Alligator mississippiensis: one gene and its partners. The protein of the gene in region 1 purifies or fractionates together with the protein of each later gene. This does not show direct contact. Links are inferred from orthologs where the notes say so. Each region holds a gene or a part of one and is shown in the gene's direction. Other genes may lie near its edges.

Region 1 (3,749 bases):
AGGATAACAGGAATAACTCTATGCATTAGGCAGTGCTATACTGATTTTCTTCACTTGCCTGTTAGTATCTATAACATGCACTTTAATATACAGCTGATGAGATGATGATATTGCTTAAATATTTTTATAGTCGTTGCCCCAGGCAGGGGCAAAACCCATAACGGTTCCTGTGCTTTTGATAAAATTGCTTTTTTTTGGCTAAGTTAATTACCCTCTTAGCATGGAAGCAAGTGAGGAAGCAACTTATAGCCCAATGCATAGCCCTCAAAGCTAGAGCTTCAAAATGAGATGGCAGCTCCACCCAATATTTTGCCTTACCTCAGCCCAGTACAGCTAAAAGCTTTGGTTAATCAAAAGCTTTGCTCTGAAAAAATAAACCTCTTGTTTTCAATAACAAATTGTGTTTTGTTAGTGGATATGAAAGGTCCAGAGTGAGCAGTCTACAATTCATCATGTACTGAACCATTTCAATAGGAACACACTAATCTCAATCATTACTAAACTAATGATGCATTTTGGAGCTGCTGCGTGGAGGGAAAGCGGAGGTAGTGGAATGTCAAACTGAGAAGTGGGGGAGTACAGTGTATTTACTTACAGATTTCTAGGAGAGCAGGGCCCCAGACTGCACTTTGATTGCTTTACTTCTATGTCATATGCTATGTACTAATATATTTTAAAGATGCAGCATTTACTATGCACTCAAATTCTTTGTTTATTTATGCAAAATATTTTGGTCATTTCCATCAATTTCCAAAATTATCTACTTGAAATGCAACTATTTTCATCAGCTGTGGACAGTTTGTCCCAAACAGAATCAATTCATATAGAATTTAGCTGCCACAGGGGTAGCTGGCATCAGTGGCTTCATTGTTTGTTACTATGGAAACTGCTCAGCCTATCCTGAATAGCTGTTAGATCATACAGAAAGATGCACATCTCTGTGTAACTTCAGCGCTGAGTAAGTTGGATTTCAGATCCATTCAGTCTTCTACAGCATATGTGAACTATTGCAATCAGCCATGCAGGGCTCTCCCAGGCAGCGCTCAGCTGTTAGTATTTTTAGCAACTTCTTTCAGGGTCGGAGGCATTCTTGCTCCGATCCCCTTCTCCGTATAATCCAAAGGCGCCGGAGCTCGGTTGTGGAGGTACTGTCATCATCAACACACAGGGTTATGGTGGCTATCTCATCCCTAAACCCTGAAGAGCTGGATGCAACTTTTCCTGAGAAAAAGAGTAAAGTATTTTTAACTTAGTTTTGTTTAATACAAAACATGGTTGCATTTTATAATAGGCTAATATATATATATATATATATATATATATATATATATATATATATATATAATGTTGTTTTGATACACAGGGCATATGGGGGGGGGTCTGTGAATACATGCATGCAGGCGCGCGCACGCACACACACACACACACACTTTACTAGTTTTTATAATGGTTAATGTTTTATTATATCTAAACTACCTTAATTGGTATTTTATTCAGGAACGAAATCTGTTTTATTTTTTATTTGTACAGCATTTCAGTTTAACACCTTTGTTACAGAAAACAAATAAATAAGACAGTGCTATGAGATTTGTGAAGACATAATAAGCACTTCTATATTTAGGTAAAAGATGACCATGATATTTGTGGTGTTGTGATGAATGCCACATGCCTATAATTTCCTCAAGAAAGAAGACACGTTGATGTAATTTTTTTCTTACATCAACAACAAGAGAAGGAAAGAGCATTCATTTCACTGCGTATCTTTGCTGGTTTTTTATGTCTATATTGAAAAAAAGATCTTCAGTATTCAGTCCATATGTTTGTGCATTTTGCAATTTAATCAAGTTGTTGGTCTGATTCAAGTTTTGGATAGTGACTATCATTTGTTAACCTTCTTATTTACTCTGTTTTTTGTATGTGTTGTAGAAAGTGCAATGCGCCCAACTGCAAAATATACTAAAGTAGGGGAGCGCCTTCGCCATGTAATTCCTGGTCATATGCAGTGTTCAATGGCATGTGGTGGACGTGCTTGTAAATACGAAAATCCAGCTCGATGGAGTGACCAAGAGCAAGCCATTAAAGGGCTTTACTCTTCTTGGTAATATGCAATGATAAGTTCTATTTAAATTATCTATAGTAAATAAAACATAATGAAATAACAGTAACACAGACCTGTATTCTATTTTCTACTAAGTATATATACTGCCATGATAAATACTCCATGTACTGCAATAAAATGTCAGTTAATGTTTGGTTGCCCATAAAGGCTCACATAAAGGGATTCCTCCCATTAAGTTCAAAGAGTTTGGCCTCAGATCAAAAATAAAATACCTATTTATAGATTATGTAAATATTCTAGATCATAGATGTTCCTTCCTGAAATGTCAATACAGCTATATTTAAAATGAGTTCATAATAGATTATTTAATCTTCCATAATATTTTTTATTTTAATAATGAAAAAGCAATTTTCCATTCTGTGTTTTTATTATTCTAATTTGATGGGATTTTTTAGAGAAAGGTATAAAAGCACATTGCTAGTTAGAGATAGTTTCTTGAAAAGGAAAGTGTCTGTATTTTGGTAGAATATTACCCATGAGATCATTTTTCCTAAGTTCTGAATGTCTTTTCTCAGGATAACAGATAACATATTGGCAATGGCTCGTCCCTCAACAGAAATCATTGAAAAATATAGTATCATTGAGCAATTTGAAAGGTAATGATCTTTACTGGTAATGAATTTCTATAAATAGCACTGATGTATCCCTGATCCATTTTTCCCTCCTACTTAGATCTGGATTGTTGGTAAAGATCCTTTCATTTTAGATACACAGGTAAGGATTTATTCTGCAGAAAGAATAAATATGTTTCAGAAAATAAGGGATAATTACATTTTAGGTGCATATAATAATGTGACTCATTTGTTCCTTCCTTAAGATGTGGCATAAAAACAGTAATTAACCTTCAGCGTCCTGGGGAGCATGCTAGCTGCGGGAATCCACTGGAGCAAGAGAGTGGCTTCACCTACCTTCCTGAAGCTTTCATGGAAGCTGGAAGTAAGTTCACTCCTGCTGCTGTTCCTCATTAATTATTGAGGACAATACTTGCAGATATTCTGACTCTGAGCTCTCTCAGTCAAGAGAAGTTACATGAGGAGGACTACACAAAAGCAGATCTATTAGAAAATGAAACTTAGTAAGCAGAGTCTTGGATTGGTCCCTCTCTGACATGTTGTTGGGTATAAACTAGAGAAGCCATGTTGCTTCAACTGCCCGGTAAAAAAGCTAAATAGAAAGTGAGAGTAAAGACATACATAGAATATAACTACATTTCAGACACTTAAATGACTCATATTTTGCAATTAGAATTCAATACACTGATTTCTTTGTATTGGCAGTATGTCTTCTTTTTCCCTCTCACATTACACTGAGTTGGGAAGTGTTATCTGCTTAGGAAACAGCCATTAAGTTAAGATATGCTATTATGTCCAAAATAGAATGTTACACTATTCCTATATATAGCTCAGTAATTTTAGTATGAATCATTCAGTTTTGTGATACCTGTTACATTCCAGCTGAGCTAAAGTCTGAAACAACTAACTCCAGGGGCATTCAAAACTTTCCTAGTGAGCTTATTCTGAAGTGTAACTAATCCATTTCAAACAAATTATACACATATACTGGGATATTTCTATACTTTGTCAGGATTGTTGTTTATTATATAATTTCTCATCTGCATGCACAAAAAAAT
Region 2 (3,749 bases), on another chromosome or scaffold:
TTTACAGGCAAAACAGTAAGATAGACATTATTGCAACCAATGATCACAGGATGGTACAAATTATAATAAATGTGATGTTCACATACTTCTTGTTCTGAAGACAAGCTTATATTTAAATAATGTGAAAAACGAGTAATAGAAAATATAATTGCATACAAAGACAATGCTAATTAAAGGTTGCAAATCAAGTGCTGTGAAGTTCGGGAGATGCCAGAAGCAGAGTTGCTATGCAACTATAATTCAGCTCCTTTCCATTAGCATTGGGCCCACGAGGATCTGGGAGATCCTCTAATCTGATCTGCACTCACAGATGCAGGATTTTTCTGTTCTCAGAACCTTGCCCTGGATTATACCGGGAGTTTGCAGAAGGGTCAGGAGCACGACCCAGGTCTCTGGGTCCCAGGCGGGCGCATTAACACAGGAGAGCATCCTCTCTCCTCCTGCCGCGTTCGTTCTGGGCCTCAGCAGGCAGTGCATGAGCCTGCAGTCCAGGGGTGGGCAAGTACTGGGGCCCGAGGGCCACTTCGGGAGTTAGGTGAGCTGTCCCGGGCTGAGTCAGCACCGCGCCCCACCCCACAGTCTGCCCCCGATCGTGGCCCCGCCCCGCACTGCCACCATCCCGTGAGCCCGGCCCCAGCCGCGCACCCCGCCCGCAAGAGCAGGAGCAGAAGCAGGGCGGACAGACCAGGGTGCCCAGGCACCGGCTAGAAGGAGCTGCCACACCTCGGGCCCCTAGGAAGCGAGTCTGGAAACGCGCTGCCCTGCAGGATCACACCACAGCCCAGGGCACCCCCGCACACCGCACACCACCCCCCGGCGGGGGGCCATGCCGTGTTGTGCCCGCCTGGGCAGGGGGAGGTGAAGGCGAAGGCGGAGCGTGCTGGGCAGGCGAGACCACGCCCCACCCCGGCCACGTGACCCCGCCCGTCACGTGACCCACCCGCCGCTGCGGCTGTGAAGTTACCGCAGTGTCCTCGGCCCCGCCCCCTCCGCGCGCGCCCCGGCCCCGCCCCCCGCCCCGCCCCGCCCGTGCGCGCGCCTTCGGCTTCTCCTCACAGCGGCGGCGGCGGCGAACGGGGTCGGGTCGGGCCAGGTCCGGTCTTTCGGAGCGCACGAGCCGCCCGGGCAGTGCCGGTTACCGCGGCAGCAGCGTTTTGGTCGCCGCAGCGGCTGCCGGCGCGGACAACATGGCGGCGGTGTCGGGGGCCGCGGCTGCGGGCGGCGCCGCCAATGCGGGCGGCCCCGAGATGGTGCGCGGGCAGGCCTTCGACGTGGGGCCGCGCTACACCAACCTCTCCTACATCGGCGAGGGCGCCTACGGCATGGTCTGGTGCGTGTCCCCGCCCCGCCCCGCCGGCCTGGCCCAGCCCGGCCCGGCCGCGTCTCCCCTCAGGACGGGGCGCGCCCAAACCTGCTCCGCGCTCCCCTCCCCGGGCGCAGGTGCGAGGTCCCCGCGGCTCCGCCGGGCTGGGGCTCGGCCCTGGCAGCCGCGGGAGTAACCTAGGGCCTGCGGAGCCCGGGCCGCGCCCCAAGCCAGGCGGCCTCGTCTCCGCGGGGGGCTCCACGGTCCGCTCCTCGGGCCTCTGCCCGTTGCAGGGCCGAGTCCGCCGGGCAGAGCAGGCCTTGGCCGGGGTTACTTGCTCCCGCGAGGCTGCCCCGGCTCGGGGCTCTGTGGGCAGCCTGGGTTGGTGCTTTCCTGCTGCCCTAGTGCGGATGTCCCCGGTGCAGGTCGGCCCGAAGCCCCCGAGAAGGCACGTTCATGCATTCGTGTTTGACACCAAGGCCGGGATGGTACTTCTGTGCATCCTCCCGCTTATTTTGGAAGAAGGGTGGGGGGTTGTCACAGGAACCATTTAACTTCACGGTGACAGGATATGTTTGGGTACTGAAAGGCTGCAAGAAGTGTCAGGAAGGATGCAGCCCTCTGGCAGTTGCATCCTTTTTTTTTTTTTTTTTGATAAGGCAAATGAGCAACCTTTGGTTAATGGGCAGAAGTAGGGAAAATGCCCCTGCCTTTCCTGTCTCTGCTGTGTTAAGGTGTCGCACATTTTTCCAAATGTTCAACTCTTCCATCAGTCCTAGGAATCTGAGGTTATACCTTTAATTAAAAAATAAATAAAAATGTGCAGCTTGTTGGTATTTTCTGTAAGTGGATGTTGGATTGTCTCTGTTAAGAATACTAATTCTAGCGGGTCTAGGGGGGGTGTCAGGTAGTATGAGGTGGTATGAGTGCAGGGTGTATCCTCCTTCTGGGCTTCGTAATTTAAAGCAGTTGCTCTAGGAAGCATTGTGGCTTTTATTTAATTGCTATTCTTTGGTACAGTCTCAAGTGTGAGAGGACATGGAACAAAGTCTGTCAGTTTATGTTGTGTACTTGAGTAAGAAAGCGTTGGATTGCACATGTCCTAGTGAGGTGCCATAGCAACTGCAGTATTTTGGTAGCGCATAAGACACAAGCTACTATGATTTAAATAAGATTACTTTCCAGTTACAGGAGTTACTGGTTGTACAGATTAATGCTAGATGTGTCATGGTTTGCTTTGCTGGCAAAGTTGCATGTGCAGTTCTCACAGTTCAAATCTGTAGAGGCCTTTTCAGTTTAAGGAGGCGGGGTGGGGGGGGGTTCTATTGCATTGCAAGTAGATTTATCTAACTTTTAATGAAGAGTTGTGGCTTTTCCAGTCAAGGAAGTCCAACTTAATATATTAAATCTGGCAATTGCAGTTATTTGTGTATTGTACTGTGTGGTTTCTTAGTGTGGAAATGTCAAGTGATTTTGACTCTTACAACTCTCCAGGGTATAAAGGAAAATATAGACCAAATAAGCCATTTGCTTGAATGTGTTCCCATTCAAGTTGTCTCTAATATGGAAACCCTTAGGCAGTCAAATGCCTGCCTTTATCTCAGTTGTCCATAGTTGGTCCAGGTTTTGAGTAGAAGCAGAAATTGAGTAAAAATACAATTATTACAGCACTACATGGCATAGTGTTCTCAGGGTGTCCTTTTTCAATATTAGAGCAAATAACGACTTTGTGCCTTGACTCTAGAGACCAGATTCTGTCTTGTGTTGAATTCCCATTGAAATATTGTGCTGAGAGATTAGGATATGTCCTTGTTCCTAGGACAAAACTCTAGGCTCTGCCTCTCCTGATGGTCTGTCGACGGGGGTTAGCCACTTCATAATTACTTTTTCTTTTCTCACTGTTTGTTTTTGTTCCTTTTACATAATAAAGACAATTATGAAAGAGAAAACATGGTGCAAACAACCGAAATGCGAGAGTTAACTAAAACCCTAATTAATTTCCAGGATTGAATCTCAAGCAATTTTGAATTATGTCCCAACAAATAAGAATATATATAAATACTGCATTCAGTCTAACGTACATAGTTGTTTTATCTAGTTTTTTTCATCTTTCCAGATATGCTCTCCATCTTAACTTTTTTTTTTTGGCTGGGTTAGTCATTTAACTGAATGTTTAAAATAATATTCATTTTTTGGAAAGGGATAGTTAATATCAGTGTTATGGGTTTTTTACTCTGCTTTTTAACCCATTGTTCCCCATCAGAATTTCTGCACGTGGAGTATTAAAGCAACAACAGATATAATACATATTTAAAAAAAAAAACCATAAGTGAATGCAACTGGACTAAATGATCAGATCTTGTACCTATCTCAGGTTCCCCATTGTGTCTTTCGAGTCATTGATAACATTGTTTAGCTACAGTATAAAGGTTAAAATAGGCTAGTT
Region 3 (3,749 bases), on another chromosome or scaffold:
CCCTACTTACAATCCTTTAGCTGGCCCAGGATTTGGTCATCACTGCTGATGAAAATCAGAGGGAACAGATTGCTCACAACAGTGTTGCTGTATTTACAGAATTTTAGGGATATATGGTGCTTTTCAGATCTACAGCCCCATCTCAAGAAGTTTGCACCTCTAGATCTCAAGTGTAAGATCTCAATTTTGCATAAGGATCCAGTAGGGAAGATTATGTGGACTTCAATTTGGAGCCAATCATGAAAATATAAAAGTGTCAGCTATCCCCTTAATTGCAACTGGACTTCACATACTAGTAAATGTAAACAGGCGTGCATTTGCATGATCAGACCACTAGTTCTATACAAGGTCACCTAACCAGATATATAAGATATATTCCTGATATACAAGCATAGCAATGTACAATAAAGGTGCTTGTGGGTGAGGTTGGAATGCAAGACAAAAAAAAAAAAACAACACTCAGAGAACTAGAATTACAAAAGAAATGTTTTTATATATGCATGTCTTGTTGCTACTTCCTTGCAGTTGCTTTTTATGTTTAGAGATTGAGAGAGCAGAGCCAGTGAAGAGTACAGGTGTAACAGAATGAAAGCACGAGAGAGACAATGTAGGGAACTCAAATGATTTCCACCGTTTGGCTAGCTAATAGAGCATGTGTTGAGGCAATATCCTACCATAACTTACTTGTAAAGGCATGTTACAGATCCTGGTTTTGCTTCCAATCAAGGGATGACTGACTCATTGCAGCTCAGTAGATGGTAAGAGCTCATGCATTTTATTTTGTGAGCTTCAGCCCACAAAAGCTTGTACTATCTCGCTATTACACTCTGGTTAGTCTTATAAGGTACAAATCTGCTCTGCTTTCTACTCAACACCAGTGGGCTGTCAGCCAGGTTAAATCAGGGGTTGTCAACCAGGGGTATGTGTACCCCTGGGGGTATCTGGACTGGTCCTAGGGGGTACATGCAGGCAGGCAGGGACAGAGGGCTGCAGGGCTGGGGCGGGTGAGGCTGGTGGCACCCCTCTGCAGAGTGGGGAAGCTCGCACGCGGCCACAACACCAGCCCAGTGAGCTTCCCCACCCCACAGAGGTGAGGGATATGTTTAAGGATATATATTTTAGGGATAGAGGGGTGCTGCTGCCCTCACCCCAGCCCCAGTCCTGCTCCTGGGAGGCGGCAACACTTCATCCCCCCTCCCCCCCCAAGCACCGTCCCTGCCTCCTGCTCCAAGTTCAACCGTGCCCCTCGCGCTCAGCGTCTGGCCCCCGGGTTACTCAGATTTAAAAAGGTTGAACACCCCTGGGTTAAGTCATAAAATTGGAGAGAAGCAGGACGGTGGCAGCGGTGTGGGCAGCGCCTTTTCGCAGGGGTGCACCCGCGTGCAATCCCGTGCACCCCCTATGCCTCGCCAATGCCCTTTAGTCTACCACAACCATCACGTAGCCGTAACCCAGCACCCTCAAAGCCCCGCCCGCACAGCAGCCAACCCGGCTTCAACTCCCTGTCCAAATACTTCATGTCTGCGCGAGGGCGATGCCCGCAGAGCAAGCACGTTGAGGAAGCAGGTGTTTTTCCTGAAGGCCACACGGGCTGCAGTGCTCGAGAGCCCAGACAGCGCCTGTCCCCGTCGCAGAGCCGCCTTACGGGAGCGCTCCCCGCGCAGGTTTCAGGGTCCGGCCCCGCAGCGAGGTGGCCGCCCTGCTCCGGGGGAGCCGGGAGTGAGCCCACGCGGGTCCCGTCTCCTCCTCCGCCGGGTGCTGCCATCGCAGCGGGGCTGGGCCGGGCCGGGCCGGGTCTGTGAGGGGACGCGTCCCGCGCTGACGGAGGCCCGGGCCTGGCGGTGCCGCCCTCGTCCCGTCCACCCGGCCGCGCTCCGCCGCCCTCGAGCGAGGCCCCTCCGCGCAGCGCGGCCGGGCCCGCTGCTCCCCCGCCGCCCAGCCCCGCGGCGGCCCGGCCCTGCCCTGCCCTGCCCTGCCCGGCTCCGCCGCCCTCCCCGGGGGAGGCCGCGGGATGACGTCACCGGATCAGGCCGACCGGCAATGGGCGCCATTTTGAAACCCCGAAACCTCTGGCGGCTGCAGCGGAGTGCGGCGGCGGCGGTTCTGACCCGGCCCCGGCCGGCGCCTCCCCCTCGCGGGCCCCGCAGCCCCCTGCCCCCGCCCCACGGGCACCGCGCGACATGGCAGGTGAGGGGCGCGCACGCCGCGGCCTCCGGGGCCCGGGCCTAGGGCAGGGGCCGGGGGTGGCGGGGCCGGGCCGGGCACTCCCCCTTCAGCGCCCTCCTCTCCTCTCCTCTCCCCGCAGGGGTGGCAGGAGGCGGCGGCGGCAACGACTTCCAGTGGTGCTTCTCCCAGGTGAAGGGGGCCATCGACGAAGACGTGGCGGAAGGTAAGAGCCGGGCGCCCGCTCCTGGCGGAGCAATGACTAAGCTCGTGTCTGCGCCGTGCGGAGCCGCGCTCCTGGCAGGCTGGCGCCGGGGGCCGGAGGCGGCTTCCTCCTCCGCTGCCTCCGGGATCGCCCGGGAGAGCGGGGCTGACCGGGGCGGGGGCACGCATGGAGGCTGCCACCTCTGCCAGGCTCCGCTCTGATGCGTCCTCGGGAGAGGCTCCGTCTGCAAGCACAGCTGGGAGTCGCCTTGTGGCAATGGAGGATTTGCTGCTTTCTCCTTTGCAAGCCGCAGGTCGCAGAGGATAGGCCCCTCTTGGGAGTGCAGTTGGGGAACAGGAGTCTGCCTTGGCTCTTGACAAGAGCGAGGACATCAGGTGTTTAAAAAACAGGCAGTGTTGAGGCAGGTGATCTTGCTGTACTAGTGAGAGTTGCCATTTCAGTTTCTTTCTAAGCCTCCCACCTTGGTGCTAGGCTGGTTTGGGTTTGCGGTGGTGAAGCTGCACGGAGCTCACGACCTCTCATCGCATTGATTCACATTTTTACTGTATTAAGCGAAAGCAGTGTTTCCATAACCTGCAAATACATCTTCAGTATCTCTTGCTTGTCTTTAGGAAAGGTTTTGTTCTTATCGTTGTCCATGACGCATGAATTAAACATTGCAGGTTACTTTGAGAGATTTGGTGGGGGGGGTTCATTTGGGGAAGAAAGCACAGTCAAAAATGATTGGCATGGGAGGAGATGTGGAGATTGCTACTGATTTTTCATTTGGTGATTGTCATCTTGAGTGATTAGTTCTCTACTTTTTCCTAAATATCTAAACTTTCTGGAATTCCTGTTTAAATTATATATGCTACTAAGGTTTTCATGCTTGCAGTGGTCCTCATTTCCTAACATCTCTTTTCTTTCTAAAAGCTTAAAGAGCCTTCTTCACATATCTTGCAAAGCAGTCATGGCAAGATATTTTGCACACTTATATTATTCTCAAGTCACTGTTTATTTACTTTCTGAGCTACCAGTATGTCTTACTTCTGTTTATAATGCCATTCCATGTGGAAGAACTTATGTTAGCAAAGACCCAACAAACATCCAAGAGTGGTGTTTAGAAAGCTCCATTCATTGATGTAGTCATTAGTGATGGAGAATTGTATAGCTCTAAAAATAATATTCATTCTCAGCATTATGTTATGACTGCATGTTCTTTGACTGTGGAATTGATATTAAGTACCTATTCAATCAATGGGGGTTTCTGTCCTAAGTAAAAATTGCATATTTAGGGTGTGTGGCCTGATTCACTTTAGGGTTGTAAGCTGTATGGAATCTGACAGGGATCTTTGGCTCACTGCCCACGTAACAGCTGGCT

The links.
Region 2: the proteins of PTPDC1 (region 1) and MAPK1 purify together in Homo sapiens (affinity purification with mass spectrometry; 3 studies listed by BioGRID and IntAct, with this or other methods). This does not show direct contact. The link is inferred for Alligator mississippiensis from reciprocal best matches to the Homo sapiens genes PTPDC1 and MAPK1.
Region 3: the proteins of PTPDC1 (region 1) and PPP2R2D purify together in Homo sapiens (affinity purification with mass spectrometry; 5 studies listed by BioGRID and IntAct, counting the BioPlex papers as one, with this or other methods). This does not show direct contact. The link is inferred for Alligator mississippiensis from reciprocal best matches to the Homo sapiens genes PTPDC1 and PPP2R2D.

The regions. Positions count from the first base shown.
Region 1 is NC_081835.1:27,446,419-27,450,167, forward strand, and holds the start of PTPDC1 (protein tyrosine phosphatase domain-containing protein 1), read left to right. Parts: upstream 1-916; 5' UTR 917-1,019; coding exon 1,020-1,233; intron 1,234-1,926; coding exon 1,927-2,098; intron 2,099-2,634; coding exon 2,635-2,715; intron 2,716-2,936; coding exon 2,937-3,055; intron 3,056-3,749. UniProt on the Homo sapiens protein: May play roles in cilia formation and/or maintenance.
Region 2 is NC_081833.1:15,153,689-15,157,437, reverse strand, and holds the start of MAPK1 (mitogen-activated protein kinase 1), read left to right. Parts: upstream 1-1,019; 5' UTR 1,020-1,187; coding exon 1,188-1,330; intron 1,331-3,749. UniProt on the Homo sapiens protein: Serine/threonine kinase which acts as an essential component of the MAP kinase signal transduction pathway. MAPK1/ERK2 and MAPK3/ERK1 are the 2 MAPKs which play an important role in the MAPK/ERK cascade.
Region 3 is NC_081829.1:75,732,368-75,736,116, reverse strand, and holds the start of PPP2R2D (serine/threonine-protein phosphatase 2A 55 kDa regulatory subunit B delta isoform), read left to right. Parts: upstream 1-1,502; 5' UTR 1,503-1,517; coding exon 1,518-1,566; intron 1,567-1,603; exon of another isoform or gene 1,604-2,180; coding exon of another isoform or gene 2,181-2,187; intron 2,188-2,305; coding exon 2,306-2,389; intron 2,390-3,749. UniProt on the Homo sapiens protein: Substrate-recognition subunit of protein phosphatase 2A (PP2A) that plays a key role in cell cycle by controlling mitosis entry and exit. Involved in chromosome clustering during late mitosis by mediating dephosphorylation of MKI67.